Oryzias latipes: one gene and its partners. The protein of the gene in region 5 interacts with the protein of the main gene of each other region in a pairwise test. Links are inferred from orthologs where the notes say so. Each region holds a gene or a part of one and is shown on either strand. Other genes may lie near its edges.

The links.
Region 1: the proteins of nif3l1 (region 5) and dhps interact in binary tests that used the Homo sapiens proteins (3 or more experiments, as listed by UniProt). The two-hybrid records come from large-scale screens. The link is inferred for Oryzias latipes from reciprocal best matches to the Homo sapiens genes NIF3L1 and DHPS.
Region 2: the proteins of nif3l1 (region 5) and bend7 interact in binary tests that used the Homo sapiens proteins (3 or more experiments, as listed by UniProt). The two-hybrid records come from large-scale screens. The link is inferred for Oryzias latipes from reciprocal best matches to the Homo sapiens genes NIF3L1 and BEND7.
Region 3: the proteins of nif3l1 (region 5) and natd1 interact in binary tests that used the Homo sapiens proteins (3 or more experiments, as listed by UniProt). The two-hybrid records come from large-scale screens. The link is inferred for Oryzias latipes from reciprocal best matches to the Homo sapiens genes NIF3L1 and NATD1.
Region 4: the proteins of nif3l1 (region 5) and sat1 interact in binary tests that used the Homo sapiens proteins (3 or more experiments, as listed by UniProt). The two-hybrid records come from large-scale screens. The link is inferred for Oryzias latipes from reciprocal best matches to the Homo sapiens genes NIF3L1 and SAT1.

The regions. Positions count from the first base shown.
Region 1 is NC_019866.2:13,272,450-13,278,559, reverse strand, and holds the start of dhps (deoxyhypusine synthase), read right to left. Parts: upstream 4,109-6,110; 5' UTR 3,977-4,108; intron 3,572-3,976; 5' UTR 3,567-3,571; coding exon 3,372-3,566; intron 3,130-3,371; coding exon 2,983-3,129; intron 2,901-2,982; coding exon 2,779-2,900; intron 2,446-2,778; coding exon 2,349-2,445; intron 2,239-2,348; coding exon 2,152-2,238; intron 2,029-2,151; coding exon 1,923-2,028; intron 1,851-1,922; coding exon 1,747-1,850; intron 1,072-1,746; coding exon 946-1,071; intron 542-945; coding exon 446-541; 3' UTR 1-445. Other genes in the region: guanine nucleotide-binding protein G(I)/G(S)/G(O) subunit gamma-12-like, read left to right, coding at 5,144-5,242, 5,450-5,575. UniProt on the Homo sapiens protein: Catalyzes the NAD-dependent oxidative cleavage of spermidine and the subsequent transfer of the butylamine moiety of spermidine to the epsilon-amino group of a critical lysine residue of the eIF-5A precursor protein to form the intermediate deoxyhypusine residue.
Region 2 is NC_019864.2:20,635,054-20,641,103, forward strand, and holds the start of bend7 (BEN domain-containing protein 7), read right to left. Parts: upstream 3,640-6,050; 5' UTR 3,367-3,639; coding exon 3,303-3,366; intron 2,939-3,302; coding exon 2,873-2,938; intron 2,795-2,872; coding exon 2,441-2,794; intron 2,267-2,440; coding exon 2,150-2,266; intron 2,074-2,149; coding exon 1,721-2,073; intron 1,282-1,720; coding exon 1,174-1,281; intron 644-1,173; coding exon 526-643; intron 419-525; coding exon 305-418; intron 174-304; coding exon 115-173; 3' UTR 1-114. Other genes in the region: prpf18 (pre-mRNA-splicing factor 18), read left to right, coding at 5,095-5,160.
Region 3 is NC_019866.2:14,551,110-14,557,254, forward strand, and holds natd1 (protein NATD1), read left to right. Parts: upstream 1-2,089; 5' UTR 2,090-2,109; coding exon 2,110-2,290; intron 2,291-3,671; coding exon 3,672-3,790; intron 3,791-3,888; coding exon 3,889-4,005; 3' UTR 4,006-5,394; downstream 5,395-6,145. Other genes in the region: myosin-9-like, read right to left, coding at 105-168, 585-601.
Region 4 is NC_019878.2:2,834,843-2,840,864, forward strand, and holds sat1 (diamine acetyltransferase 1), read left to right. Parts: upstream 1-2,309; 5' UTR 2,310-2,516; coding exon 2,517-2,579; intron 2,580-3,344; coding exon 3,345-3,396; intron 3,397-3,464; coding exon 3,465-3,545; intron 3,546-3,741; coding exon 3,742-3,843; intron 3,844-3,910; coding exon 3,911-3,951; intron 3,952-4,244; coding exon 4,245-4,421; 3' UTR 4,422-5,173; downstream 5,174-6,022. UniProt on the Homo sapiens protein: Enzyme which catalyzes the acetylation of polyamines. Substrate specificity: norspermidine = spermidine >> spermine > N(1)-acetylspermine. This highly regulated enzyme allows a fine attenuation of the intracellular concentration of polyamines.
Region 5 is NC_019877.2:7,709,282-7,715,161, reverse strand, and holds the start of nif3l1 (NIF3-like protein 1), read right to left. Parts: upstream 4,015-5,880; 5' UTR 3,944-4,014; coding exon of another isoform or gene 3,908-3,943; intron 3,060-3,907; 5' UTR 3,049-3,059; coding exon 2,454-3,048; intron 2,358-2,453; coding exon 2,201-2,357; intron 896-2,200; coding exon 772-895; intron 683-771; exon of another isoform or gene 658-682; coding exon 519-657; intron 1-518. UniProt on the Homo sapiens protein: May function as a transcriptional corepressor through its interaction with COPS2, negatively regulating the expression of genes involved in neuronal differentiation.

The DNA of each region.
Region 1 (6,110 bases), on a different chromosome or scaffold from region 5:
CAGTTAAACACTTTTCACTAACTTTTTGCTTAATAGCATTTTTATTTACCTATACAGCTATACAAATATACCTAAAGACATGCCACATGTAACTCGAAATTCTTCCTAAAAAATATATGAAAATAAAAGGTGATGCTTGCATCTACTAAAGACGTGAAATCAAATGTCGGGATCAACACCAAAAAGAATTTCAGACTGTGACAAAAGTTTCACAGTTTCTTAACTTACAGGGAAACCAGCAAATTGAAAATAATGAGAAAAGGGTTACCTAAATATTTATAAATACACAGAATAAATGTCATACCAAATGTTGAGTGCAAAGCAGTGTTGAAGAGGCTTTCAACATCTTTTCAAGGCCCAAAGTGTAACTTTTTTTTAATGAAAAAGGGGATTTAAATGCATAAATTAAATTGGGAGGGAAGGAAAACTTGAAAGAAAACCACCATTAATCTGCTTTCTTTTCAGCAGTCAGCTTCTTGAAGTGAAGAGCGAAGGTCTCGGCCACAATCAGAGGAAAAACCAAAGAGGCATCTGCGTACACCTGTGGAGCCAAACGAGTGCTGTGAGAATCTAAAAAACTCATTTATGGTCTGTGCGACAGACGAACAGGGCAAATGGCACCACCTTGTGGCCAAAATAGGAATCACAGGTAAAACGAAAATTATTAAAAATACGAGTATAAAACTCTTAAATGATGGTTTAAATAAACCAAACTTTCAACATGTCATGGTTGAAAATGCAAAAATAAACAAACCACATAGATGTTAAGCCTTGAGCACCAGACCAGAAACCCTTATCAAGAAGAGTTTAACTAAAGTCATTTAAGGTGGAGAGGAAATCAAGTTAAAAAAAACTAAATTCTTAAAAGGATTTTACTGTAATGACTACTCAATAAAGAGCATCTTAGTCTTAAAAATCATTGTGTGAGGAATTCTTTGATCGCACCTTTACAGGCGTGGCATCCGCTCTGATCTTTCCCCACGATATGGCTTCATCAGGTCGAGCCCCAGAGTCAGAGCCATCAAACTCCTGGCCTGTGTTCACGTAAACCGCATAGTCTGCTCCATTCCTCTACAGTGGATCCACAAAAAGAGAACGCGTCAAGAGAGGGGAAAATAAAACAGCTGTGTCTGTCTATCTATCTCTATCTCTATCTCTATCTCTATCTCTATCTCTATCTCTATCTCTATATAGAGAGATAGAGAGATAGAGAGATAGAGAGATAGAGAGATAGAGAGATAGAGAGATAGAGAGATAGAGAGATAGATAGATAGATAGATAGATAGATAGATAGATAGATAGATAGATAGATAGATAGATAGATAGATAGATAGATAGATAGATAGATAGATAGATACACATGTTTTTGTGCTTCATAAAAGGAGGTCAGAAAAAGAAAACTAAATTAGCACTCTATTTAGTCAAAGAAAGTGCATCTAAAATTAAAAACTACATTAATTTCTGAATAAAATGACTGTTTTCTTTCTAAGCACATTTACATCCCATGCTGTTAGAAATGGCGTAAAAGCTTTGCAGTATTTTTAAAGGACACAATAAAACTATATATAGCAGTTAACAAAAATTGAAACCACTGCTCTTTTAATATGTGTTGAAAGCAACATTTGACATAAAAAAGTGTAATTTCAGAGAAATTCCCCTTAAATTTCCCCCTGCACAAAGGTTATTTTCTGTGCTAAGTGCCACGTAAATGAGAAAAAGGGAAAACTAACGAACTAGGTCAATTACCATAAGGTTAGCATTGGCTATATGATGCTTCACCAGCCCTCCTCCCAGGATGATCATTCCGGTCTTCTTGGCAAAAACTGCCAGACCGTTCAGTCTGCGAATATCTGCAACAAACACCACATTCATGAGACGACTTAGCCCTAACTTTACTATAGAAAAGGGATTTTTGCTTTCACCTTCTACAATGTCCAAAACCAGGCCAGGATTTTTAAATGAGTGAAAGTAAATCATGTCACCCAGAGAGCCATCGGTGAGAGCAGGACTGAACACGGGGATGTTATTCTGAAACAACACGGCACAAAAAATTCAGTTGAGCAAATAAAATGAGGACAAATTCTACTTAAAAAAAGCTAAGAAATGACAACACATTCAATCATTTCAGTTACCGACTGCTATTTTGCTAACCTTATAGGCCCAGTAGTACACAGAGTCAGTATTATTGATCTCTTTGCCCAATCGATGGATCATTTTGGAGGGAGTCCAACGCACACCCTAGTGGGAGAAATGGAATGAATTTGCAGTTGCAAATCTTTTTAAAAAGTGACTGTTAAAGCATCACTGCTGTTTCAGACGTTGGTAATTGATCAGAAAAAAAACCTTACCTCTGTGTTCTGCTCCAGCAGCATCTGGTCCAGAATGGGCATCAGCCAGTCTTCAAATTTACAGTAGTTATCATTGGGAACCAGCAGATTCCCAATCCTATAGTCATGGCAGACAGAAGGAGAAGGAGTTCAGAGAAGGAGTGATGTTTTTGTATCTTAACTGATGTGTTCCTGATGAAGCTGCTGTGAGGCGCGATTGCAGCTTAAATATGACTATAGATACTGAATGCAAACTCACAGTCAACAATAAAAATAGTTCCAAAAATAACAGATTTATCTAGAAAATTTAGTGTGACAACAGCACCCAAAGGAGCAGCTGTTGATGAGCTGTGTGGAGTAAATGCCAGTCAAAATGCCCATCCCTCATTTTTGTCATTTTAAATCCAACAAGTGATGTCAGAAATTAGCATATTAAATCTACAATAACAACCTGTTGATTCCTTTCAGCCGGAGTTCCTTCCCAGACAAACTAAAATCTCCTAAATAGGTGTGAGCCAGACATTTAATCAAGTCCTCTTCAATTCCTCCAGCTGTGGTTACAATCGCATCCACCTAAAACAAAGTAAGAGAATGTAAGAAACGGCTCTGTCTGTTAGCGTTGACAGTTTCGGACAAGCATGACAACCAACTGTACCATTTTGTGCTCTACGAGGTACCGGATGCTTTCTCTCACTCCAGAGCTGATCAGATTGGAGGTGTAACCCAGAAAGATAGTGCAGCCCGAGTGTTGCTTTAACTCATCTCCATCGTCTGCTTCCATTGGCTCGAGGCGTTTCTCAATCTGTAAGGTGTTAAGTAGTTCATAATAGCCACTGGGACATACATTTAATCAAAATAATCCCACAAAAGCAATGCCAAATAAATATAATCTAAAGTCTGACGTGAAGTACAATCAGTAGATAAGGTAGAAAAAAATACTGAACATTTTAAATTTATATTTAAGGAAGATGCAAACAAACTTTTCTGGAGATAAGGAATGGCACAGCTGTGTACAGGGAATTATTCTCTATTCGGCTCACATACCATGTTGTTGATCTGTTGAATGGCCAAACTTAGGCTGCTGGCCTGAAAGCCTGTGGTGAGGTAGGACTTCAGCACCGCCTGCAGATCGACTCCGTGGTTGAAGTCATAGCCTCGGATTTTTGGCATGTCGTCAGGGAGGTCATCGCTGGGCTTCAAGACAGCCTCCATGGCTACAGAGGGGGCGTGGTCTGACATTGTTCCTGCAACCAAAAAAATCCACAACAATAAAAAAAACTGTCATTGTGTTTCTGAGTTGGATTATTTAAAACAAAAAACAAGGGGGGTGGGGGGTCACTTTAGAAACTAAAGTACATTTTCCTCCAAGCACATTTTTACAAGAACAAAACTTGATGCACTATAATTCATTTTAATTTAACACATTTTAATTAATATAAAGTTGACAAAAAAGCCATTAAGCTGAAAAACACATTTACTAATAGCATTGCTTTTTTTAAAATCATAATATTAACTATCTGAATATATAGCAAAACAAAAACCAGAACAATTTGGATCATAAACACAGATGAGAAACACAGATGCTAACTAAAAGAGTCTTCTAAACAAGGTGAAAATGAAAACAGATACATGAAAACTTTAAAACATACCTGTTATCAAAGAGAGACTAAGTTATAATGGGATTAGGGGCCAGGTGACGGCAAATGCGCAGATGGAACATAGCCAGTAACCATCGCATGGGCTACATGTAGCATGAAGCTAGCTAGCTACGGAAAGCGTGAAGGTACAAACAATGCCAACCGCACAAACTTTTTTCCTTTTAAAAGCAAACCTTCACTCTCCCGGTTTTTTTTTTTCCATCATCTTTGTCATTGCTTTTAAAAAAATAAAAAAGTACATGCTTGTGTTTAAAAGTTTTATTTGACTATTACGCTATCAATTGCTATTCTAAATAATGCTTTAATTTGAACATTAACTTTAATCAATTTAGAAACATTGCTTATTTTTATTTTGCAGGAATTAAATAAATTAATAATAAAGTTTTTTAAAGCATGTTTGAATAAAGCGCAAAACAAATCTAAAATTTTGCCCACTTTTGTAACATTTTTACCCCAAATTATAACACATTTAGTTGTATAACAGAAATCTGTGATCACTTTTAGATGAGCAGTTCAAAAATTGAAGAGACTTTCTTTTAAATGCACCTTTAAGGTAAGGGCTTCACTTAAAAACATCCTCAAAGACATGTCAGACCCTGGAGATGATCTGTTTGAACATCTGTATTTCTATCAGGGAAGGGTTACAGGATAATCAGGGTCAGGGTCAAACAAACTCAAGAAGCGCTTCTTTGCAACAGCCTCTCAATATTCAGTTTTCATTAGATAGAGAATTCAATTTGTATAATCTTTTAATTTGATATATTATTAATTTAATGAATATGTAATTGAATATACATAGGCTTGCTGCCACTTTAGTTGGCACTTTAATTTTGCTGCAAATGGTAAAATGAAAATGAACTTGATTCTATTTCTCTTCTACTGCAGCACTCTTATAGAAAAAAGCATGTGTTCCTGTTTTTCATCAGCTATGCCTGTGAAGTAAAATGTATGATGTTGCTGACATTTTGGTCGGTTGACCTTCTCTTATCACAGGGTCTTTGAACTGCCCACACCTTTGAATAAAAAGAGGGCACAGGTCAGACCAGCCTCTCTGGGCAAAGTGTCCACAACGGGAGGTCACCCTGGGTCAGTTTAAAAACTGCTCCAGCGCCCTTTTCCTGCAGAGACTGTTGAAACAGAACTCTTGCACTGAAAGGGATGTCTGGAAAAACTCCCAGCTGCAGCAACAACAGTGTTATTCAGGCACAAAAGTTGGTGGAGCAACTCCGGCTGGAGGCAAGCATGGTGAGATTTAAGGTACGTGAAAACCACTCACTTCAAAATTTATTTTACATCTGTATTTTAAACATTATTTTTGTTGCTTTGATTGGGGGGAAAAAAACAGATGGAACAAACTAATAAGAAAGAATCCAAAAGTCCAAGTGTGTGTGTGTGTGTGTGTGTGTGTGTGTGTGTGTGTGTGTAAAATTGTAATATTCTTTGTAATGTCCTTTGCTCAAGCAGATCTCCTTGACTGCAGCAGACTTGGTCCAGTACTGTCAAGAGCACAGATGCAGCGACCCTCTGCTCATGGGCATAGCTGCCTCCTCCAACCCCTTCAAGGAAAAGAAAACCTGTGTGCTGCTTTGAACACTGAAGAGCTGAAGATAACCAAAGAATAACAGATGTTCAAAATGTTTACTACAACATAGCTGTTATAAAACATAAAAATATTAGAAATGATCAAAAAATATGTAAATATTTATACCTATTGCTGTTACATGTTTTTTGGCTTCTGAGCCTTTTTTTGTAAGCATGACATGTTTTACACAACAGAAATACATGTATATTGCATTTATTTACATTTATCTAGTTGTGAACTCATTTGAAAAACACTTGAAAATTCTTGTATTTTTTCTTTATTTATTTTGGTTAAGTTAAACCAGTCATGCTTTTGATTAGCCATTTCACATCTTCCACAGCTGTGACTTTTGTTTTTTTGTTTGTATTTTCCTTTAATTGGTATAGAAGTATTACATGTAAAAACTGCCAAATAACTAAATGTTATAAGGCGAATCAGGAAAAAAAAAGGAAATTATGAACATCAAATCCAGAAGTGTTTTTGCTTTTTATTTTGACTTGACCTTTGTTATTGACTTTCACATTTATAATGTCTGAATCTCAG
Region 2 (6,050 bases), on a different chromosome or scaffold from region 5:
AAAGATGGTGCAAGGTGATGCACTGGTGTGAGGTGAAAAGGAAAGGTGAAAAATTTCAAAGCAAACAATCTGGAAAGGGTGAGTCACTTTCATTGCTTTATACATGGGAGTACTTCAAATGAGGTTAATACTTGTGGATGGTCCATTGCAGTTTTCCTCTGTTTCTGCTGCATCTGAAGATAATGAAAATAGCACTTAGGAGAAAAATTAGTCAGTATTTACCAAATAAATTGCACATAGCTCAATAAAGGAATAAATACTAAATTTAAATCGTTAACGAAAGGTATACAAAATAGTAGCAGACCTCTTTTTAGCCTCCTTCTGGCAAGTTTAATCTGGTCTTGAAGAATCTGCACCCAATCCCGAGGTCCAGGCAGCTTCTCTATTTTGTGTTCAGCGCAGTATTTCTCTGTAAAGACTAAAACGTGATAAACGTTTCTTTAGAAACAGAGTGTACTTTGTCATAGAAACCAGTCAAAGAAGAAGACAAACCTCTGAGAGGTTTTGGATCCACCACTTTCTTACCTTTAATGGCACCAACAATGTTCTGGTCCAAGCCTTTTCGGTTATCGTTGAGCCCTCTCTTCCTTTTACCATTTGGCAACGAGTTAGCCAAAGTAACATCATTAAAGAAGGCGCAGACCTACAATAAAACCAAATTTACTGACCATTCTGTTTGACTTCTATTTTGTTAAAGATCCACTCCAAGGAAAATTGTGTTTCTTGTGGGATTTTTCTCCTGACGTCGGACATAAAAGAAAATTAAGCTAAAAATTTGCATTCTCAGCATTTCTTTATTCAAATATGAATAAGGAGTAGAACATATTTGCCATTCTGGGCGGGCCACAAGCTTTTGAGCAGCGGAGATGGGAAGTGGGGCGGGGTTTCTCACAGCCACAACTCAGAAGCACATTTTTAATGAACTACTGCCGCTCTGCAAAAATAATTTCCACGAAAACAACGCAGGTATTTTGCATTAAGGCTAAAAACTGCATAATCATAATTAAAAGACCATTGAGAATGCTTTTAAACAGCTCAAAAGATGATCAAAGTGAGCCTTTCAACAGAAAATTGCCAGATATTTTGGGATCAAAAAATGGAAATAGTCATTTAAAAAATAGAAACTAAAAATAACACAAAAAAAAGAGGGCTCCAAATTAGCTGAATGCATACCAGTTTGCGAAATAGGAGACTGCCAGAGCGGGTGTAGTTGACCAAGATGGAATCTAGCTGAGCTTTAGATATAAACACGTCGTATTCCTCTGCAAGACGGACCTCACTCTGTGATGGAATACAGAACAAAACAATTAGTCGTTCCAAAAATTAAACAGAAATGAACAACTGAAATTCAGAACTGGGTTTAAGAACTGAAGTCAAAAAGGTTGAGACTTCATTGTACAACAATACATTAAGGTCATTTTACATGGCTCAATAAAGATAAAGTTTACACCAGGTGTAACTCAGAAAGAAGCCAGTCTCATGACATTTTGCTTGGAGTCTGTTTAGTCTTTACAGAAATTTTAGATCTTGTGTGTCTTGTAAAAAGTTCTAAAAAAAGCAACTTTCTTATTCTGTTCAACAATTTATATCAATTACTTTACATTTTTGTTTTTTGATAAATTTAGCAAAACATTAAACTTAAATCAACAAACTAAACAAAGTCTAAACTTTCTAAGAAATTTTGCAACAAACTTTACAGAGAAACAAATTAAGGTTTTACCTCTGATGCTTGAGTTTCTTTTGGTTGGCTTAAGGTAGGATTATGAATTTTGCTCACTATTCCTGAATCATTCTGTTGTGACTGTGCCGAAATATCAGGGGAAATGGGATGCATGTTCAGCACTGACGAGTCCAGTTTCTCACATTTTTCCCTCTTTGCAGATTCTGCTGGTGGTGCAGCTTGATGCGCTGAACTTTCCACAGGAGAAAGAACAACTTTTTTACTGCTGGAGACAGTAAGAGGCGCCACCCTGTAGTAAGACTTTCTTTTTCTGTGAAGACTGCGCGGAGTGGAGCCCAGGCTAAAGCGAGGTTGGCATACTGGTGTTGCTTGTTGATGCTTTCCAAAGGATGCTAAATAAATGAAAGACAAAAACCTGTTATGCCTTCTTTATGTTTATCCCAGTGCAATTTGGCCACATTTTCTGACCTTTCTGAGTCTGCATCAGCCTCCTCATGGCACGCAATTCCTGCAATATAGCCTCTAGAGTGCCTGTACAGTTACACATACAGCACGAGCTTTCTTGGACTGCAGGTTGCGCCACATCTGGAAATGCAGAGGTGCTTTAATGAGTGATACGATCCATGCAAACATTGGCAAAGTGGACTTTCTGACTGGAAAAAAATGGTTGAATTGCTGTCTTTGATTTACTAAATGTAAAAAAAACCCTACTTTAATGTCAATTTTAATAGATTTTTCACAGATTGTTTATTGTTTTACCATTTTGTTCATTGGTTTTGCTCACATCCTTGGTTTTGTTGAAAATCCTGAGGGATCTGGAGCGAGTGCTGTACTGGCCATAGTTTGGACCATTGGGGACAGGTATAGATGGGGATGGCACAGAAAGCTCTGAGTGTCCGGTTGACAGCCAGCTGTTGCCTTGATGGTCATCTGGTACCACAGACAGGAATGGAGGCTGGTGAATCCAACTCAGATGCTTATCCTGGGAATCATTTGTTGTGCCGTCACAATCTGCAACAACACGCTGATACACTCGGCCAGTCTTGTCCCTCAGAAGCCTCATCATTCCTGTGATTTGCCTCTTGATCTCAACACCTTCATCTTCCAGCCAAACTGCATTGAGGAAAAATGGGTGTGGGCGCAGGTATAGAAATGGTAAAGTGACAAATCAATGCTCAATCTGACACATACCATCAGACACAACTGCATCTTTAGTTTTGCCATCCTTGCTGCTGGAATTCAGTGAAGAATCATGGTCTGCAAGTAAAACAAAAGGTTGTTGCTGTAAACTTGTGTAAAAAAGCCGCAATGACTGTCAACAAAAGCAGACACCCCCACCCCCCTTCCCATCTCATGCAGAAACCACCACCTGTAGGTTGTATGAAGTAGTTTTCGAGAGAGGCTGCAGCTTTAAAAAAGGTGAACATCCTGCGCTCCTGTTCTGGATGTGCAACAGATCAGAACATCCTTCATTGTCACGATCCACATAGAAGCTGGGGATGACGATTTGAACCCTCCAAACCCAGACATGCCGTGGCCGCCGCTTTTGTTTACGCGCACAGCAGCAGACACACAGCCAGCCAGCCAGACACGCGTCTCCTGCATCCATTCAGCAGCTTACCTTCATCTGCGACCAGTTTGAAGCTTTGCGACTTCCTCCTTCTCCTTCTTTCTCCAAATTCCATCTTTTTCCCGCAGGTCGAGCTGAAATACGCCGTTCAGAACGACCAGCCAGGGACCGAAACCCTGAGTGGAATCACCGTCTGTCCGTTTGCCTTATTAAACAGTTAAATTTCCTCCCAGTCAGCGCGTCCGATCCTTTCACCAGCAGATTCCCAGCCCGAAAAACAGAAGAATATTGTTGAGTGGATCCATTTCCCCCGATATTACTACCCCGACCCTCCCTCTGGTCATGTAAATGAATTGATGATTTTAATATAAGAATTGGTTATATCCCTTTGCGCCACCTGATGGCATGTTTCATTAAAAAGGTCGGCACATATTTGCCAGTCACTTCAGACAAAAGCCAGCGTTTAAATAAAGGCGGTCTAAACCCAAATCGTTGTTTTTCATTTCTCTTCCCCAATTAAATATCCTCTATTTGGTTTAACGGCAATGATAAAAAAAAGACAACTGAAAGCCGGACATTCGACAGCTGGAGCAGAAAACTCAAAAATATAGATAAACGTAATAAATAATGCCAAACAATAAAAGCACTTTGGGTGACCCGAGTTGTAAAGTGCTATAAGTAAAGCTTGATTTGATTAGAAAAATGAAACTTTTGAAAAAGTGAATGAATGAATACACTTACTCTGTTTTAAAGCAGCTGACATACCACAGGATTTCAATTTGACAAAAAAAAAACCTTTTAGAAAAGTAGCTCAAATAATAAAGAGATTTCTTTGGCTTTGGTTCGCAGTATAGTTTTCTGAATTCATCATTTAGAACTTAAAATTATTTGTTTTAATTTGGGCTTTCAGGCTTTTTGAGTTATTGTAAATGGGATGTTCATATCAGCCAACACTTCTTTTTACCTTATGGACAAATGATGGACACAATGAAACAAATAGAAGCAGCAAAAACCCACGTGACTTACTAGCCGATCTAGCAGGGTCTGCAACACAATATCAAAGCAGGAATGGACAAGAACGACCACCATTAAACGAGATAGATTGTGTATAAAGTTTGACAAAAATAAACAGTTTTATTAATTCGGATTGCACGATTTCTAAGTTACTTTCAATCAAGTTACTTCAACACAGATGAAGTAAAATTGCCCCCCCCCGGTCTCCAAAAGATGAACTAAACTGGCTTAACATTTAAATAAATGAGATTGACTAAAAAATAGTTCTAAATAGTTGCCATTATCTTACGGAACCCGTAACGTTTCGCCAATTTTTGTGACAAAGTTTAACACAAACAAGCTGTGGTTTGCTAGGACAAAAACGGAATTTTGTTAAGGAATAATTTAAAAGTTCTCTCTCTCAAAGCTTTCTAGCTTTGTGGTTGTTGTTTTCATATCCTTGCTTCATGTTGCTTTTTTTTCATAATAAATGTGTTTTTTTTAAATGATGGTTTCAAACCTTTCCATTTTTTAGCTGGAATGTTTAAATTAAAACTTTGAAAATAAAACAGATGAAAAAAATAAAACTAACATGATTTCTTGAATTTTTCTGCAATCCTCAATGCAATAGAACAACTTACTGAAAAACAACTTTATCATTCATTTACGTCTGTCAGTCTTTTCAAAGCCGTTTTATTTTGAAAGGTTAACCCGGCAGTAAAACGCACAACTTTTAAAATGAAAGTTCAGTCTTTCAATATTTTCCGGTCCATTCGGCTTCACAACAACTCTGTATCGTGGACACTTTGGATATATTCACCATTAATTTCCTCATATTAGCTTTGTAAAAATGGATATACTTAAAGCTGAAATAGCAAGAAAAAGAAAGCTCCTCGAAGAGAATCAGCTTGTTGATGTAAGTGTCTAAAAATTCCACACTTACTTAACTAAATTAGCACTTCGTTCGTAGCTAGCTAGCTCAGCTGAGCTGGCTTGATCATCGATAGACAGTCTTTTAACAACGTTAAGCTCTTTTTAAAAAACATATAAAGTAGTAATATTACAAATCCCATGCACTTTAGTATGTCTGTAGCCATGCCTTTAAATAAATAAACAGATAATCTAGTTTCGTAACGTTTCTTTTGGTGTAGCTAGTTCTGTTCTGAGTCTGAGAGGACTGGTACCTTTTTTTTAAACCAACATTAGCTCATATTCATTCGGTACTTTACTATGTACTTTACTTGTTTGACCTAAGCGTTATCAACGATCATGAACGGCATCTTGAATGTGTAAAAAGTAGAACAAAATAATAGTAAAATTGAAAAATTTACGTCAACTGTTAGCTTAGCGCCCATGGCGTAAAACAATTGCGCATGCGTACAAAACATTATAGCATTTTTACACTTCCTAAATGTACATAATATCCATAAAATATATCAGAATACATGTGGAAAAATAAACTGCATTTTAACAGAATTTCTAACTTTATATGAATTAAAATATATGGGTAATGTATATGTATATGAACGTATAAAATGTAATTATAATTTTAATTCTTAAACCGTTTTTTTTAAGTTACTGAAGATACAATTCTGCTAGATATAGGCATAAAATAGGCATTATAATACTAAATTTATGTTTATTTTGTTTTTCGATTATCTGTTCTTTTGCATTTTTTTCCTTCAGGTTGCAATTACTAATTGTTTTTTTTTTTTAATTCAGTGTATTTTACGTTATCTTGTGTTTTATTTAAACATTTAATATATATATATATATATATATATATATATATATATATATATATAT
Region 3 (6,145 bases), on a different chromosome or scaffold from region 5:
TTTAAAGTAAAACGCTGTCATTGCATCTGTGTTTAACAAATTCCACACTTAGATATTTCTAGCACAACACTAATGAAATGATTGAATTTCTATTCATTACTTACCCTTCCCTTGTGGTTTGACTGCGGTTTGTTGGTCTTTGTGGTTACCAGTGTCTCATGCCACTTGCTTCATAAAACAGCAAACACATTTTTTTGTGTTCAGTACAGCATAGACAACAGTTCTTTCACGATGCAATTGTCTTTAAAGCTTAAATTCAACATTTAAAATCCCTTATGATGTTTCTTTTTCAAAGCCAGAGGACTGAGAATAAAAAAAAAACTGAAAATAGAGCAGAGCATTGATTTATAGGTAAAAATGTAAAACTTTTGCTAAGATGGGCTCTTTACTCACAAGATGAAATCATCCATAATAAATGGTATAAATGGTTGGTAAATGCAAGTTCTAATTCTCTAACCAGAAATACTAGGACTGTGCTGGAATATGAAAGTTTACATTTACGCAATAATAGAAATTTATTTTCTAATCAGATTAACTGATTTGACACTACAACACATCTAGTAAATAAGTGAAAGTTGGCTTACCTGTGTTTTTTAGACATCTTTTCAGACACCGAATTAAAACAAACCTCTGTAAATGACAACAATAATAAATAAGAAGAAGAACTTGGTATTAAACTACCCTTCCAGCGAAAACTAAAAAACGAATAAGACAAAAACAAAGGGAAGAAGTCTCACATCATTGCAGACGGCAAAACCTGAAGAAGCAGAGAGCTACCTTCACAAAACCCCACAAAGATTTGACAAACCTCATTAGAGTTTTGTTGGATTAGACCAACAGATTAAAAGGATTTGCACACAAAACATTAGTGAACTTGACGCACCGACTTAGAGTTCAATACGTGGAGATGTCTGTGTTTATGCAGGGACAGAAAAGGGATTTTACCCCGAAAAAGATCCCGAGAGTAGTGACGAAGAGAAGACATTGCAATCGTGGCTATGAAAGGTAATCTGGCCTAATTTGAGCTATTGTAATCCATTTCTTTGTGCTTAAATAAAGATAATCTAAAGCCATGTTCATAAAACCCTTATTTCAAGATTGTTTTTAAATGATGCAAACATGATACAACAGCCTAAACAAAACAAATTGTATAATTTTTTTTAATTAAAATATATACTAAAACAAACGGAAATAAAGGAAAGTCTTGAAAAATATACATAAATACAAAATGTTGTAAAAATGCCATGATAACATTTCTCAAAATTTATAAAAGAAAAGGAAAAAGGGATGTTCTTCACTATCATTTTGAAAAACATTACAAGAAACTTTTGAATTCTGGTTAGATAATTTAATTGCATTCCTTTTACATTAAAAAAATATTACTGTGATTTATTCAATGTAAAAATAACCCTATATGTCCTTTTATTGAATTTCAAGTTATTATATTAATGTTGTGAAACTGATATTAAACAATTTTACGTAACCTTGTGACACGTAAACAAACTACACAAGAACAACTAACAATACAAAAACTGCAAAAACATTATTTTTAAATCCAATTAATATGATTTCATTGCATCATAATCATTTAAAAAAATTAAATAATTAGTCATTAATGAAACATTTTTTCAGCTTACAATATTTGAATTGGCCAGACCAAATTTTACAGAGAGGAAAAAGAATTAAACCTGCGAAACAAATAATAAAGTAGAATATTACTCACAGAAATAGAAAAAGAAACCTAGATAAAGTGGACGTCGGGATATCACATCCTCCAATTAAAACAATAAAGGTGACACATATACAAACTTTTGCATTAATTTCACTTTAAAAATCGTCGATTTTTATGTTGTTTGTCAGAAGTAGAAGATTGTGTTATTTTACGAAAAAAAATGGTTTAAGAAAAATAGATTTCGTATTTTTATTTATATGTTTCTATTTATTATAAGTATTTTTAACTATATAGATTTGTGTAGTTTTTATTGTGATTTTTAACTACTGTAATTCTTTAACCAGAAAACATTTATTTTCGTACCTTAATTTCTCATCTCTGACGTACATCGAGCTGATTGGCTAGTCCCCACGTGACCTCACAGCTGATTGTGTTGGATGAAGTGTTTTGCTTCAGTACGTTCATCGTCGTCTCATGTAGCCATTTCTGGTTATCAGCACCGTAGAGTAGCTGTAATACCCCCAATAATGGCTCAAGCGCATGCCTTTGACACCAGCGGCTCTCAAATCCAGGTGGAGCACGATAAAAAGCGCCGGCAGTTTGTCATTAGGCTCAATGGTAAGTTCCGAATGTAAACATTAGCACGCTCGCGCTAGCGCGAGGTTGGCTTGAAGGTTAGCTTTGTCTGCTTGCTAACATTTTTACCTTGTGGGGAACTCCAGCTGCCATTTCTGCCACAGCTGCGCTGCGTTGTTCGGCACCACATAGTCGCTGTTACTCCTTTTATTTTTCTATCAGAAATGTAGTTCATAAACCATGAATGTCTAGGCGGTTTTTCCCTCTCTTTGAGGGGAAAAAAACTTTAGTCGCTTCATTCAACAGATGCTTACTTTTTGCTCCAATCTTAAAAGAAAAGCTGTTTCTTTTCCCACCTATTACATTTCTAAGTGTTTTAGCAATATTACTTTGCTGGTTTATATGCATGGTGGGCTGTAATTTAAAATAATTTATGTTTTTACCATTTACAAATACTGCCTTAAATATTTGCTTTTTTTTCAACTTTAATATGTTTTTTTTTTAATTTATTCAGTTTTTATAGCAAACTCAATTACATAAAGATCTCATCAGTTTCTCCAAGTCAATTGTGAAAAGTGTATTTATATATTGAATGCCTTATTTCACTGAACAGTAATACATTCTATTTTTTTCACATCTTTATTGACTAAAGTTTTAATTTATCGTAAACTTTCAAACTACATCTTTGTACTTGATGTGTGAGACACTATAACGTGTAGGACCTTTAAAGTCCCACTCTAAGCAACTCTTGATCTATGTCCAAAGCATTCCCCGTGCTTTTTTTAACCATGACTGTGCCACTTTAAGCAAAAAAATAATAGTAAATAAAATTAAAAAAAAAAATCAGTATTGGGTTTTTTTTGGGGGGGGGACATATTTTCTGCAGAACGACAGTAGTTCATTAGCATTTTGCCTCCGAGTTGTGGGCGGAACTGTTGGTGCGAGTAAGTACAACGCTCTCCCAGTAGCCTACAGCCCCGGCCTAACATTTGCGGTGCAACAAAAATGGCAAGAAAATGAGGAACTATCCAGCTGTAAAGTTTAGAGCTAGATGCCAGTTCAGACAAGAGAGATGCAGACATCAACGGATTTAGTCATATACAAGTGGATGCATCAGAATGGAGCCGAACAGGGAGCTTGTCGCTTGCCGTAGTAGCTTTTACGTCACACCCACAAGCTTTTTCAAACTGGATTTGCTCCTGATTCCTAACAATTTGAATAAAGAAATAGTCAGAAATGCAACATGTTAAAAACACACGGAGTGTGTCTTTAAAAGGGTCTTTATGACTAGTGTAATGTTGTTCTACCGGCTTTTTGTGTTATGTGTGTCTCTTCGCTTTATAAGGTCAAAGGGTCAAATTTTTCTGGGTGGACCAGAACTTAGCAAACACAAGAAAGGCTCAGCTTTTGTCTCATTCCTCAGGATCCCATGATCGTGCAGTTCTTCTGTACGAGTATGTCGGGAAGAAAACGGTGGATTTGCAGCACACAGAAGTTCCAGATGCATACCGAGGGAGAGGCATTGCCAAACATCTAGCCAAGGTAGAATAGATGAATGAATTCTTGAGTCATTCTGAACGACAAAGTCCTTTTTGGTTGATAATTTGGCAGTTCACTAACTGTGCTTTGTGTAACGGCAGGCAGCCATGGATTTTGTAGTGGAAGAGGACCTGAAGGCTCACCTGACCTGCTGGTACATTCAGAAGTATGTCAAAGAAAACCCTCAGCCTCAGTACTTTGAACACATCTATCAATGACCCAACACAGCCCTGAAGAAGGGATCGAGACAGAGACTCGTGGGAGGGAGAAATACTGTGACGGCATGCCTTGCAGCCGCTGGACAAAATTCCACACACCGCCTCCCAAGTGTTGTTGAACATGTCATTGAGGGAATCCAGAGACAAAACCATCTCTATGATCTCACGCTGCCGTGAGGGTTGACCGTCCTGTCAAAGGGCCATTGACATCCATCACAAAGGGAGGGGGACTGGAGTAAAGGAGAAGCTCCGTTCGGTCTTGTTGTTGCGGAGCGACTGAAGGGTGGTGCCTGAATCTTCCAGAGTTTACCCTCAAAGCTGACTTGAAACAAGTGCAGATTTAAATCAGATCTGATAGGACTTGTTTTTTTTTTATGTCTTTCCTTGGAAATACATGCATTTCTTATCCTTGTTTGATATGGGTATAATGGCAACAATGGGTGCTCCACTTAAATTTAGATTTTGTAGACTTTCAAATTTGCCCCCTGTGTGTTATATCTCATTTTTGCCTCCTGATGTAAGTTTTGTTTTTTTTGTGCTAAAGTCTTCAAATTAATCATGAAACTGCAGCCATTTAATTTTTTTTTTCTTTTGTCATCTTTCACCTACATTTGGCGAGTCACATTTTATTAATAAATACAATTTTAAAGTGGAAGAAAATGTTCAAAGCCTAATTTGGTAATTATTTTCCACTGTAAAAGACACATATGGTGTTTTATTGGAGTTTTAAATTAATGATTTCATTGACAAAGGTGCAGGGATTTGTAAACTATTGATGTCCTGTCAATTTCTCTGTTTATTGCTCATCCTGGCATTTCAACGTTTGCCGTCTCTAACCAAAAACACACTCTTGAACTGAGGGCATTTCCATTATGTGCTGTGATGATTATTACTTTTTCCTTCCAGTGACATTTCATTTGCAATCTGCAACCGAACTGGTGGTTCATATGCCACTGACATTAAAATGAGTTCAACATTTGACAAATAGGATTATTGAGGTGAAAGTATTTTTTTTCTTGTAGATATTTTGCTGTTAACAATCTTGTATGTTTAGTTAAAAAAAAAAGTCAAAAACCTCAGGCCACTCAACACGCCTTGGCATGCAAGATTAAACTGTCTGCTGTGATGGCCAGCCGCAATAAGAAGTCCCTTTGGAAACATTTTGAGCAAGCGCCTAATGCCCAAGACACTGTCAGGTTTTTTTTTTTTCAAGTGGAGTTTTTGTGCTTATTTTATTGCTTCATTCAAAGCAAACCATGCCTGGTGGGAATTTTCAAGCAGGTTATTTTGGATTTGTTAAATATTCACATTCTTGTTACACAGTTTTATACTTGATAGCTTTTCTCTGTACCTATTTTAAATACATAAATAAAGATAATATTCATCAAATGTTGTGGAAGTGTGATTTTCAAATTAAGCAGGGGTGTATATGTTAATTTTCCTCTTGAATTAATATTGTTTTATGCTTTTAATGCATGAAAAAAGGTGGCAAATTACAAATTTAATGCAAAATTAATTTTTCTATATACATGTCGCCCATTTACTTAAAAGTACTATATTTTCACAGTCTGGAAGGAATATAACGCTTCCATATTTTTTAAAGTCCCACTCTAATCATTTTTGGATCTATATCAAAAGCATTCTCAATGGGATTTTAATAATTGACATTTTTAGCCAAAGTCAAAAAACCTGTGTCGTTTTCTAGGACATAGTTTCTGCAGAGCAGCAGTAGCTCATCAGAAATTTACTACTGAGATGTGGGCAGGACAGTTGGCGCAGAGTAAGCCAGCCCCTACCTTTCATTATTCAACTGTTTACATGCTCTCCTGCTGCTTAATTTTTATATACAGTGGGGCAAAAAAGTATTTAGTCAGCCACCAATGTGAGAGAGGCCAGTAGTTTTTATCATAGGTATACCTCAACTACGAGACAAAATGAGGAAAAAATCCAGAAAATGACATTGAGCAATATTTAAAGAACTTGTTTGCTAATTATGGTGGAAAATAAGTTTTTGGTCACCTACAAACAAGTACGATTTCAGGCTCTCACAGACCTGTAACTTCTAACTAAGGAAGAGGATCCTTTGTCCTCCACTCATTACCTGTATTAATTTCACCAGTTTGAACTGGTTATCTATATA
Region 4 (6,022 bases), on a different chromosome or scaffold from region 5:
AGGGTCACCCAGGTTAACCTGAACTTTCAGTTTATTCTAAAGGAAGGTTTGAAATCTAAGCTTAAAGATAGAGATGCTGTTTGCCTCCAGAGCTGAAGGAGGAGCACGGTGAGTGTTCAGTTACAAGAGAAGCACTTTTGTGATCAGTTAATTAAAGATTTTCTTGAATTCTAGCAGAGTTAATGAGAAATGCTGTTCTATCTGCTTAAACCATGAACTCCAAACAAAAGAGAACCTGTCAGGCTGGGATGGGGCAGACTAATAAATTTGATTTCCAGTTTAATCCAAATTATGTCACATGTTTCTAGAATTTCATTTATTCCCATCAAAATTACAGGGGGACTAGTAAAAAACTTGAATACATTGTACGTATTATTGTATACATTGTTGTACTTTATTGATTTATTGTGGATATTATATTTAAAAATGTCTTTAACAATCTGTTTTCAATACTTCTTTTATGATTCAATAAATTGTGGACTCTGTGAATTATATTTATATTTCAAAGACAAAAAAAAGTTATAACTTAACACATCTGTAGCTATATATTGATTGGCCAGAAGAAACCATAGTCTCAAAGGAATGACTGGGCTTGAATGGGATTATTTCCATTTTAGCTATTAGCACACTTTGGCTTCAACTTGTTTTCATGTATCAAAAACAGACAACAGAATCACAAAAACAGTCTGTAAGCCTGCAGACAAACAGATGGGATGGCGGAAGAGGACTCCCAACCCATGTGAAACTATCCAATTCTGTCAACGTGACTAATTATCACTGGTATATTTTGAAGTGAAAGGTCCCTGGTTCAAGTCCCGGCTGGGGGACCAGAACCAGAACATCAAAGTTGGGCCTTTCTGTGTGGAGTTTGCATGTTCTCCCCGTGCACGCGTGGGTTTTCTCCGGAGACTTTAGCTTCCTGCCGACGTCCAAAATCCTGCTTCATGGGTTCCTCTAAATAGTCCCTAGGCGTGTGTGTGAGTCTGCATGGGTGTGTGATTGTGGCAGCCTGTTGATTGTGGGGGGTTATCGGCATTGTTTGTCGTGTCATTTTGTTTTTAAATTTGATTATATTTTATGCAAAGCACTTTCAGTGACATGAGTTGGAAAAGTGCTATATAAATAAAGGTTGAATTGATTGGATACTGTCCAAAAACATGCTTCATAGGTTAATGTGTGTCTCTGGATTGCCCCTAGGTGTGTGAGTGAGTGAGTGCATGGCCCTGAAACAGACTGGAACTTGTTCAGGGTGTCTCCTGCCTTTAGCCCAACAGTAGCTGGGCTAACTCCAGCTGCACTGTGACCACAAAAGGGATTCAGCTGGTTCTGAAAATTGAGGCACGATTCTTATCCATTACAATGCATCAAAGTATATAACACAATACAGAAACGGCAGGTGGGATACATATGTTACGCAGAAACACAAGGCCAGATATTATCTCTCCAGCTTGACCTGAATCTGCGGCTGGAAATACCTGTATGTCCACCAGAGCAGGATTGTTTACTAGCAAAAATAAAACTTTATATGAATTTTTGTATATTTAAATGGAAAGATATGTAAGTTCCAAACAGTGTACTTTTATTTAACAAGAACTGGGTAAATTAATAAACAATTGAATAACTACATTTTAGAAACAAATCAACTTGAAAATAAGACATCTACTAAAACTCATATATTTTTAAAATGTATAACTTATTTTTAAATATCTACCCAAGTGCATTTGGTCTGTGGTGTGTGGTAATGGCTTGCTGAAGTTTTCTGATAGTACTTTTAGTGTGCTGTTGTTTTCACCACAGTGGTTCACTGCTGGAAGATCTCAGTAGTTTCAACATAAACTTAAAGAACTGAGTCAAACAGACACAATAACTGAGAGGAAATAAAATCAGTTGTATTCTTCCATACATTGTTTTGGCTTGTCGGGCAGCTCTTTACCTGCAGGCCTCTGTTGTTTTCTGACCTAAAAAGACAGTCAGCCCAGCCCCTCCATCACAGACTTGGGAGGTGGAAAATTCCACTGATGTTGATTACAGGAGTCACTGCTGGTTTTGTTCTGACTTTAAACTTTTTCTTGTTGCTGTTTGCTTGATATATGTCCTATTCTATTTATGGATTCTAGAGTAAGTGATTCTTCAAAGAAAATTACTTTAACAGTCTCTTTTCCAGAGCACACATATGTAATGTCGCTGCGTATCAGCCTTTCTGCGGCCGCTGATTGGATGAAAACTGACCGCAGGGTGCCGCTGATTCGCCACAGATGAGGGGGCTGCTGGAACTGGCCAATAGCGTTCGAGCGCGAGCCGGGTGTATAAATAGTGTTGAAACAAAGGGAAGGAGTTAAACGGCAGTGACCCAGCCGAGGGTGAGCGCAGCTGAATGATCTTGTCCCGACAGACGCGTCCGGACCAGAGGCTGACTGTGGGGATAAAGCCACTCTGACGCGAATGAAGAAACTTCTCATCTTCCAGTTCACATACAGAGGACTTTTGACTAAAGGAAAAAAAGGGAAAAGAAGAAAATGGAGTATAAATTACGAAAAGCAGAGCCCAAGGACGTGCCAGACATATTACGACTCGTGAAGGTACGTAGATATAACGTCAACTACTATTAGAAAACAAAACAAAAAAAACCGGTCTGAACTGGACGCGCTTGTTCCGGTTAACGAGCCCTTTCTGCTGACGTCACGTTTCCCGCTTTGGAAACGTGTCGTCGACGGATAAAAAATACGGGAACTTTTTAGGAGAAGTGTGTCTGACAGCTGATGGTGAGACGGGAGGAAGGTCGGCAGGATGTCCGGCCGGCAGCTCAGCCCGGCGGCCTTTGTTTTTCAGCCAGACGGCTGGTGACCGAGTTAACTTCCGCCTCTCCATATATGGCTCTTCCGCCCGGCAGCTTAGCTTCTTATGGAGGCTGACCTCGGAGAAGTGTTATTATATGGTTGTGTAACGGCCGACCTGACACAGATACACACGTTTGACACAGTAACGCAGCTGAGGGGATGTCAGAATTTACAAACACAAGAAAAAAAAAACAACTAAAAACCGGAACAAAGAAGGAAATAAACGGCGCTTTTTGACACAACTTCATAAAAGCGGAAGTTGAAAACTTATCTGCCTAACCCGTTTAAAACTCTGCTGCAGACATAAAATACAGTACAAAGCAGCTGTCTTTAATAATAATCTCCAGCAGAAAACAAACTTTTATTTAGTGTTATTTGTCATTAGACGACGTCTTTGTCATCTGTGGAACATCCTGAGTCATCACTTTTTTTGGCTTCTGTCATGAACTTTTCTCTGGAAAAGTCTGCTCTCAGAATGTTTTTATCAACGCTCTGCTCTCATTCCAGGAGCTTGCTAAATACGAGGAGATGGAGCACCAGGTGGCGCTGACGGAGAAAGGTGAGTGTCCGGCGGCGTCCGCCCGCACGCCGACAGACCGTGTTTGATCATCGCCTGCTTCTGTGCAGATCTCCTGGAGGATGGATTTGGTGAAACGCCGTTTTACCACTGCATCATCGCTGAAATCCAAGGAGAGAGCAGCAGTGAAGGTAGGCGTGTGCCGCTCTGCTCAGCTTCCTGTTTGTTGGCAGGAAGAAGAGCCGCCGCCGGCTGCAGTTTGGGTTTAGTCAGACGTGTCGGCTCACGTGTGCTCTGGCTGGAGGCTCAGAGCAGCTGCAGGTCTGTGAAGGTTTCCTCCCTGCAGAATGGCCGGTGACCGCTGTCCCCCCCCTTGTCCCCATACAGATCCTAAGGTGGGGGGGTTTGCCATGTACTACTTCACCTACGACCCCTGGGTGGGCAAGCAGCTCTACCTGGAGGAGTTCTACGTGATGAACGAGTACAGAGGTGAGAGCAGCTCCTCCTGTCCTCCGGTGGGTCCCGAGCATCCCTGAACTCCTGTTGTCTCTTCCAGGTCTGGGGATGGGCTCGGAGATCCTGCGGCACCTCAGTGACGTGAGTTCGATTCCTGCTGCAGCAGCAACTGTTGATCGTTAACAAAACCTACAGTGTTTTTTAATCGATACCTTTTAGAATAAAAATATCACTTCTTGTAACATTCAAAACAAAATATATAAACATTGTTTTTTCTTATGAAATCCTGTAATGAAAAGACTCAGAACGTCTGTCTGCTCCGTTCCTCCTGTTGACTGCATGATGCTTCTGTGTCTGACTCATGAGCTGAGGCCTCCTCCTCCTCCTCATGTGACCAGCTGCTCTAACGTCTCCTTCTCTTGCTCCTGGTCCAGCTGGCGATGAAGACGCGCTGCACCGGCATGATGTTCGTGGTGGCGGAAAACAACGCCCCGTCCATGCAGTTCTACAAACGCCGCGGCGCGGAGGACCTGTCGCAGGAGGAGGGCTGGAGGCTCTTCAGGTTTGACAAGGACAGCCTCCTGAAGATGGCCACTCCAGCTGAAGAATGACAGGAGGTCCAGCAGGGCGGCGCAGGAGCAGGAGGAGACCCAGGAGTTCCAGCTCCACTCCCCTCTGCGCAGATGAAGCATGCAGATGTTTCGCTGTAATGGTTCTGGTGCAACACCTCTCTCTGATTTCTGATCTGAACTTTCCCACCAATAAAGAAATTCCTGATCTCAGAAGCTCCAGCCTTTCTGCTGTTTGACAGATCCGCTCATGTTCATGCAGCTCTGGACGTCCTCAAACGTGGACCTGCTCATCCGGGTTGAAGATGAGAACCTGAGCTCAGAAGAAGAGCTTTGAGAGGCAAACGGGGTCAGACTTGACCTGAAGGCTGAGTTTTAACATGCAGGCCCGTTAGAGGATTGTGTTAAGAAAATGTATTTCCATACTCATTATTTTCCATGTATTTATTTAAAGTCTTGGAGTTTGTTAGCTTAAATCCTATTATCATACCAAATCATAGTTTGTAGGCATGCTGGCTGGATGGTTTTTATTATTTTTAGTCTGGTGTTAACATGGTCGTTAGTCTTTCAGTTGATGGAACTGTAGACACTATATTCTTTGTTTTTCTTCAATGACCCTGGCATGCACTCGCACTTGTCTGCAGCCGCTCAGCTTCATAACAGCACTCAGCTCCCTGGGAGGTGAAGGCCGCAGACATGCAGCCGTGAGGAAAGAAAGGCGGAACCTCCAAAACGCTTGAATGTAACCGTTGTCTGTCTGCTCCTTGCTTGCAAGTAAAGCTTGAAAAGATAAACTTTTGAGTCTTATTGAATCTTTTTGCATGTCTGGAAAAACTGTCTGTGAGCCAACGGCGTCTTTACAGCCCGCCTTCAGAAATCTTTCCTGACAAGAGGGTTGTGTCTGGAAGGTCATCCGATTTCAAATATGCAAATCAGACCTGTGATGCCCATTTTAGAGGGAGGAAGCTGATTGGCTGAGGCGACCCCTGAAGGGAAAAGCTGACAGGAACAGGAGAAGATGTAAACAAAGTTCCTTTTGGACCACAGATCTGCTGAAAACCAGAAGCAAATGGCTGAATCACAAATGCACAGCAGCATGACATCATCAGGTTTGGGGGGTTTCTTTCAGAAACTAGCAAATAACCCTTTTTTTTTTATGATTGGGTTTGTAAAAGCTGATCAGACCGTTTGAATGACTCCTCTCAGCAGTTTGATTTGATCACTCAGCAAATGCAAACTGACTAAACAGTAAACCTGGGGAGCAGTGAAGCTGCTGCTCCTCTTCACACAGGTCAGACTATCATCTATTCCCCTGCTCTTGTTTTCAGATTCGACCTCAGATTAGACTTTAGATTAGACTTTAGATCAGCCCGTTATCCTCAGATAAGTGAGAGTGATTCCACAGGAGTCAGCGCCTTTAGTCTGCTCCTGATAAGACGAAGAGGAAATGTTCCTTTATGGCGTCTGTCTGGATCCTCTCCTTTAGATTAGACTTTAATCTTAGAAACCCAACAGAACCAAGAATATTCTGTTTGCCTCTGGAATCTGTTTCAAGTTAAATAAACAAAACAATTACAGTTGACAGACAGAAATGTCCCCAAAAGGGGCTTTTCTCCTTCACTTCCTGATGTTTCTGGAAGGTC
Region 5 (5,880 bases):
TAACAGGAAAAAAAATCTTTTTCGTAGAATTCCGTCTACCCAAAAATGTGAGGTTTTTACAAAGTTTTTTCATGATTATGAATTCGCCGTTATCTGATCTATAGGTTAAACTACTATTTTTTTAAATATATTTTATTTAATATTGTTTAAATATTTAATATTGATATTTTATAAAGTTTTTGCAAAGACACCTGAGTTAACCACAACAGCTATTTTTCACTTACATATGCATGAACAAAATATGTGATAAAATCTGTGAATAAATTATATACATTTATGCTAAAATACATCACAGTAATAAAAAAACAAAGGACATAAACCAGTGTTTGTGAATCCTTTAATAAACAATAGCTAAATAGCATGTTATGGGTCTATTTGTCATTTCTATATTTATCTTTTTCTTTAAAAAAAATAAACATAAAAACATGGGGAAAGGTTTTTTGTGTATTTGTGTATTTGGTGCTGTGCAAAAATCTGCGCTAACAGTGTTGGGAGTCCTTAAATCCATGTTTGTTTACCTAACGTTTGCCCCCATCCCAGGGCTAATCGCAGATGACTCAACACCAGGTGGGACTTCATCCTCTGGACGGCTTCAGCCACAGTCACTGGCTGCTCCAAAACGCTGAGTCGGCCTTGGCCGTGGCCCGGCAGAGGCGGCTGCAAGTGTGAAGCAGGTACAGAGCTGCCAGGTTACCGGGGCATCACAAAAGGACACTGTTATTGGAGTCTTAAAAAGTACTGACTTGGTCTTTTTTTGTGTTTCTGCTGTACCTTCTCTAACTTCAGGATGCTGAGGGACTGACTGGAGCAGCTGTGCTGCAGCAGAGTTTGAACGCTGGGAGTCAGTGCTGAGTCGCTGCATAATACGCTGGCGTGGATCCCACTGCTGTCTGCTCTGGTTTGAGAGAAGTAATAACCGAGACAAACAACTTATTAACATCTGATGATGCTAGTATTATTTTCACATTAGTATAAAAACAACCCGGCATAATCAGAGCGAATCCACCATCAAACCAATTTTTTTTTTTTAGTACAGCCATAGCTCATTTCTACGACGGAGTATTAGGGCCACCAAAAAAAAAAAATTAGAGCCACCAAAAAAAAAAAAAAAAGTAAAATTACGAGATTTTATCTCGTAAATTTAGGAGATAAAAACTCGTAAATTTAGGAGATAATAACTCGTAAATTTAGGAGAAAAAAATTCGTAATTTTAGGAGATTACAGTGGAAGTGAACATGCAGAGCAGCAGGTGAACGCCGTGCAGCCGCAGAGAAGACCGACTAAACTTTGTTGAACAGGTGAGCTGTATGTTTATTGATAACGTTCCAAATGTCTGGAAAGTCATTTGTTCGATTAACGATTCATTAAAGTTGTATTTATTGATGGTTGGTTTGCAGGATCTCTGCAGCCCGACGAAGCCGTTGTCGGTGTCCCTGCAGCTGTTCGCTTGAATCCTTTCTTCCTCCACCAAAGACAAGACTCTACGTCTGTGTGACGCTTCCGTCACACAAAAGGAGGAGCACTTTTTTTTTTTGGCATTTTCAACGTTCCAAAGCTAATATAAAACACTATTTTCATTCCTCTTTATTGTTTTATGCTGAAACGGGACATTTCATCTGCAGGAGGGGGCGTTTGTAAGACTGTTTACTTCCGCATTGGTGTTGGGATGACAGGTTCATGACGTAATGAGACAAATGAACTTCAGGATATGTGAATGGAAAGGAAAATAAAGGCTGCAGCGGTCCTCTACACCCAAACGTGTCTCTGAGCTCCTTATTTTACCTATGAAACTCCGCTTTACTGACACTGAACCCCGGAAAGACTACTACACGGAAACTAATCTGATTTTGAGTCGCCAAAAGGTTCAGAATCTCTTTGTTTTAAACCTATAATAATCCGGAAATGAAGCTTCACAAAAGGCTCCACATACTTCATCTTCAAGCTAGGTTCCGATAAACGGACAACTTCGGTGTTTTTTCCTTAATCTACGACTTTTTTCTCGTAAATTTATGAGATTTTAAGTCGTAAATTTATGAGATAAAAAGTCGTAAATTTACGAGTTTTTATCTCCTAAATTTACGAGATAAAATCTCGTAATTTTACTTTTTTTTTTTTTTTGGTGGCTCTAATTTTTTTTTTTTTGTGGCCCTAATACTCCGTCGTACATTTCTGAATATATTCCCCAAAAATCTCAAACAACCTGGTTCCTGTAGAGATTAAGGATGTTCCTCCATCACAGGCCTTAAGCTCCTTCATCACTGTGTTTAGTTCCTCTGTGCTTCTCACTGTGAACTCGAGTTTATGACAGTGGGAGGCGTTACCAAGAGCCTGACTCAGCACAGACACTTGGCCGCTGCCTGAAATTCAAAGAACAACCCAGAAAAAAGCAGATTACAGGTTCACATGCAGCCACAGCAAGCCTAATGCAATTTCCTGCCAGAAGAGCTCCTTACCAAGGCCTGCAACCAGCCAGTCATTTACCCCTCCTTTAACACTGTCCCATGAAGTGTGAGGGGAGAAGACCGCAATCCCAGCCTCTACCGCCCGGATGGCCAATCGCTGCTTCCAATCTTTCTGGTTCAGTCGCTTAACAGGACGGAACAACGGCGGGTGATAGGAAATAATGAGGTCACAGCTCAAAGCCTCTGCTTCCGCCATGACTGCATCTGTGAGGTCGTTGGTCAGCAGGATGGTTTTGACCGGCCGAGGTTTGCTAGGCTCGACCAGCAAGCCGACGTTATCCCATGACTCAGCAAGAGACAGAGGAGCGAGCTGCTCCAGAACCTGCAAAGTTTCCTTTAACTCCATGGGGCCAGTAAAGTGGGAGCAGTGAGGAGGCTGGAAGGCGGAGGAGAAAGGAGGATGCAGAAAGGATGAGCTGTTGATGATTCGCTGTTGAGGAGACGAGGAGACAGAGGGAAGAGAAAATGATGCTGCTGAGGCAGAGAAGTGGAGTTCACTTTTAGGCTTGAACCTTTTACACATCCAAGTTCTTCTATGTACAAGTGATGCAAAGATCAGAAAGAGATTCCTGCATCCAGTCAACATGAGTGGACCATCTGCATAAAACAAAAAAGAACACAAAAGTGGGCACTGGGTGCTATTTTTTCCCTTTCGAAAACATATCATTAAAATTCAAGTTCCCCAATTACAAAAACGAACAATCACTGCTAACTTTAAATACATTTTTCTCAAATATCTTCAGGTTTCATGTATTTAGTTATTATAATATCACCTATAATAGCCCTTAAATGCCTTCAAAGAAGAGGCTGTAATATACTTATTTATTCCTAAAAGCAACAGCTTTTTTTGCTCGGTCGAGCCGAGCAAACTTTCATTCGTTTTTATGCATATATACTTTGCTCCAAAAATTTAAGTCTGCATATAAGACTTTTTTAAAGGCCATATTTACCCTCTGAAGAAAAACTTAATGTGACTTTATTTCCAGTTTTTTTTCCTGACCACAATATTAATTTTTTAAGATATTTCATTGGAGATTTTGGACTACTTCACCACGTAAAGTCGTGGAAGATTATAAAACTAGGTCTGATCCACCAATTTTGCTGAATTTAAGTAAAAGCAAATTTGGATAATTATTCTAATCCATCTAATCCATCAAATAATAATTAATGATTTTGATAGAAACATAATATACACACACGTATGTTTAAATAAAAAGATCTACTACCTGCACACGATTTTTATATGACCAACACAAGCACAACAATGAGTGACACACATGCGGCTAAGCACAACTACCTACCCCTAGCTAAGCTAGCAGATTAGCTGCGCTACTAGTGTCTTGTAAATGTTGATAGAAAATCACCCATTTTATCAAAATTCAGTGTTGCTATGATGAGGTAAAAGCCGTTTCAGAGCATTGGCAAATGTAACGATCTTGTCATACGTTCAGGAAGATATCAGAAACTTTGTGAGCTAGCATGAACCTCTGCGACTGTCAGTCAGAACTTTCTGCACAACCCTATAAATGTCCCTTTCGAGCTTCCGTTGTGTATATCGACAAAAAACGGGACATAAATAAATAGGCGTGGCTTCTGTCACATTATATTACGATACAATGTTTTAAAGATACATTATAATGCCAACATTATGACATTTTATTTTATTTTATTTAACTTTAAATTTTGAGCATTTATTTTGTTTAGGATATTAGTTAAGATTCATTGTCTAATTTTGAAAAAGTTCTCGGAAGGAAAAGTCGCTTTTAAAAGATTTGATTATAAATATGGTGAAATCTTTGGTTAATTTTGTGGCAACTGACTCTTATAAGGTTACCTCAGTTTTAGCATAGTTCCTTTAATGTCATGCAGAAAATCATTTCTGGAATTTTTCCAAACAAGTTGAATTCTTTTAACCACATTTTTAAGCTATGCTCCTTTCACAGGAAAAATAAAGTTCTTTAAGCATTTATTAATTTTCCTGTCCTTATGTTCAAAAAATTTGTTCACAAATACGTTACCAAAAAAAACCTTTTTGACCTGCAAATATTTACAGAGCTGTAAGCACAACGTTGAAACTATTGGTCAGTAGGCTAAAAGTGCAGAAGCTGCCTTACTCTGTCAGTGAGTAGTTCTTTATTAGTGATAAAAACAGTTTAATTCTCTTTAGACTGAAATTCTCTGACTGTGGACATTGCATTCTAAAAATGAAAGCTTATTTGAACAAACAGCTACTGACAATATGTCAGAGACGTTAAATGGAAACCAAGAGGGCATTAGCTTTAAAAGGTGCGTTTAATCAGCCATCCTAATAAATCCTTTTGGTGTTGCATAATAGAGCTCAAATGTAATGTTATGAAACAAAATTACTGATTACTGTCAACAGGAAAAGGCTAGATGACTCTGATAAGCTGTATTAATTCGAGTGGGCAGGTGGTCCAGAAGATACCCAGGGATCCACTTGCCTTTTCTCAGAAAGATTACCGACCACATAGTAACACGCAGATGAAATCTGTCTGCAGCTGGTGGTCGTGAAGGGGTTAAACATGCATTTTTGGCACGACAGCAAGCTTCTGGACAGAATGGCTTCTTTTGGATTAAGTCAGAGAGTGACCAAGAGAGAGATATTGGGGATTAATGCATTAAAGGTCGATGCTAGATGTTAGGAAGGGGGATCAGGGAAGGATCAGCGCAAAGGCCAGCCAGAGTGTATTACATCATCTGAGTCTTCCTTTGGCCTCATCTTTCTGTCCGTGCATGACATCTATCAGAATAACAAGGTCCTGCTCTTCCAGCAATCACACAATTTACATTGTCAGGACAGTAAAAGCATTGAAAAATCTGAGGTGTTGAGTTTTTGGAACAGAAACAAAGACTTAAAAAACACTTGAAACAAAAAAGTATGCTGTTATTTGGAGTTACCGTATACATTGCTTTGTTCTCAGTTGTTTGGTTTAGCATATTGGCTTTTTTTAATTGGCGCTATAAGCCTCTGTTGCCCCATCTGGCTGTCTGAGCCCCTTTTTCCATACAACATCTGTCTGTGCGCTGTGTCCAGAGTGCACAGTGTTCCTGTCCGCACTCCAAAAGTCTAAGTAGGCCTTTCATTTCCGCTGACTTTTAATCCATTTGGCACCATAGAAATAACAACAACAAAAAAAAACTCAGGGTAAAAGAGTTTAACAATTTCTGTGGATGTATTTTACTTATTTTATTGTCTCTAAATCAAAAGCTCTGTAGCTTTTTGTGGATAAATCTGTTATGTAAAATTCTCCTTCTTAGTATTTTGAGTTCTTTGTTCTATTTTCGTTCCTTTCTCCAAATGACCTTCAAAAAACAAGCTTATTCAGTCGACATTTGGCTTACAGAGGAGCATCTCTAATGTCCTTTGGTTTACAAATCCCTTCAGTGGGACATTATC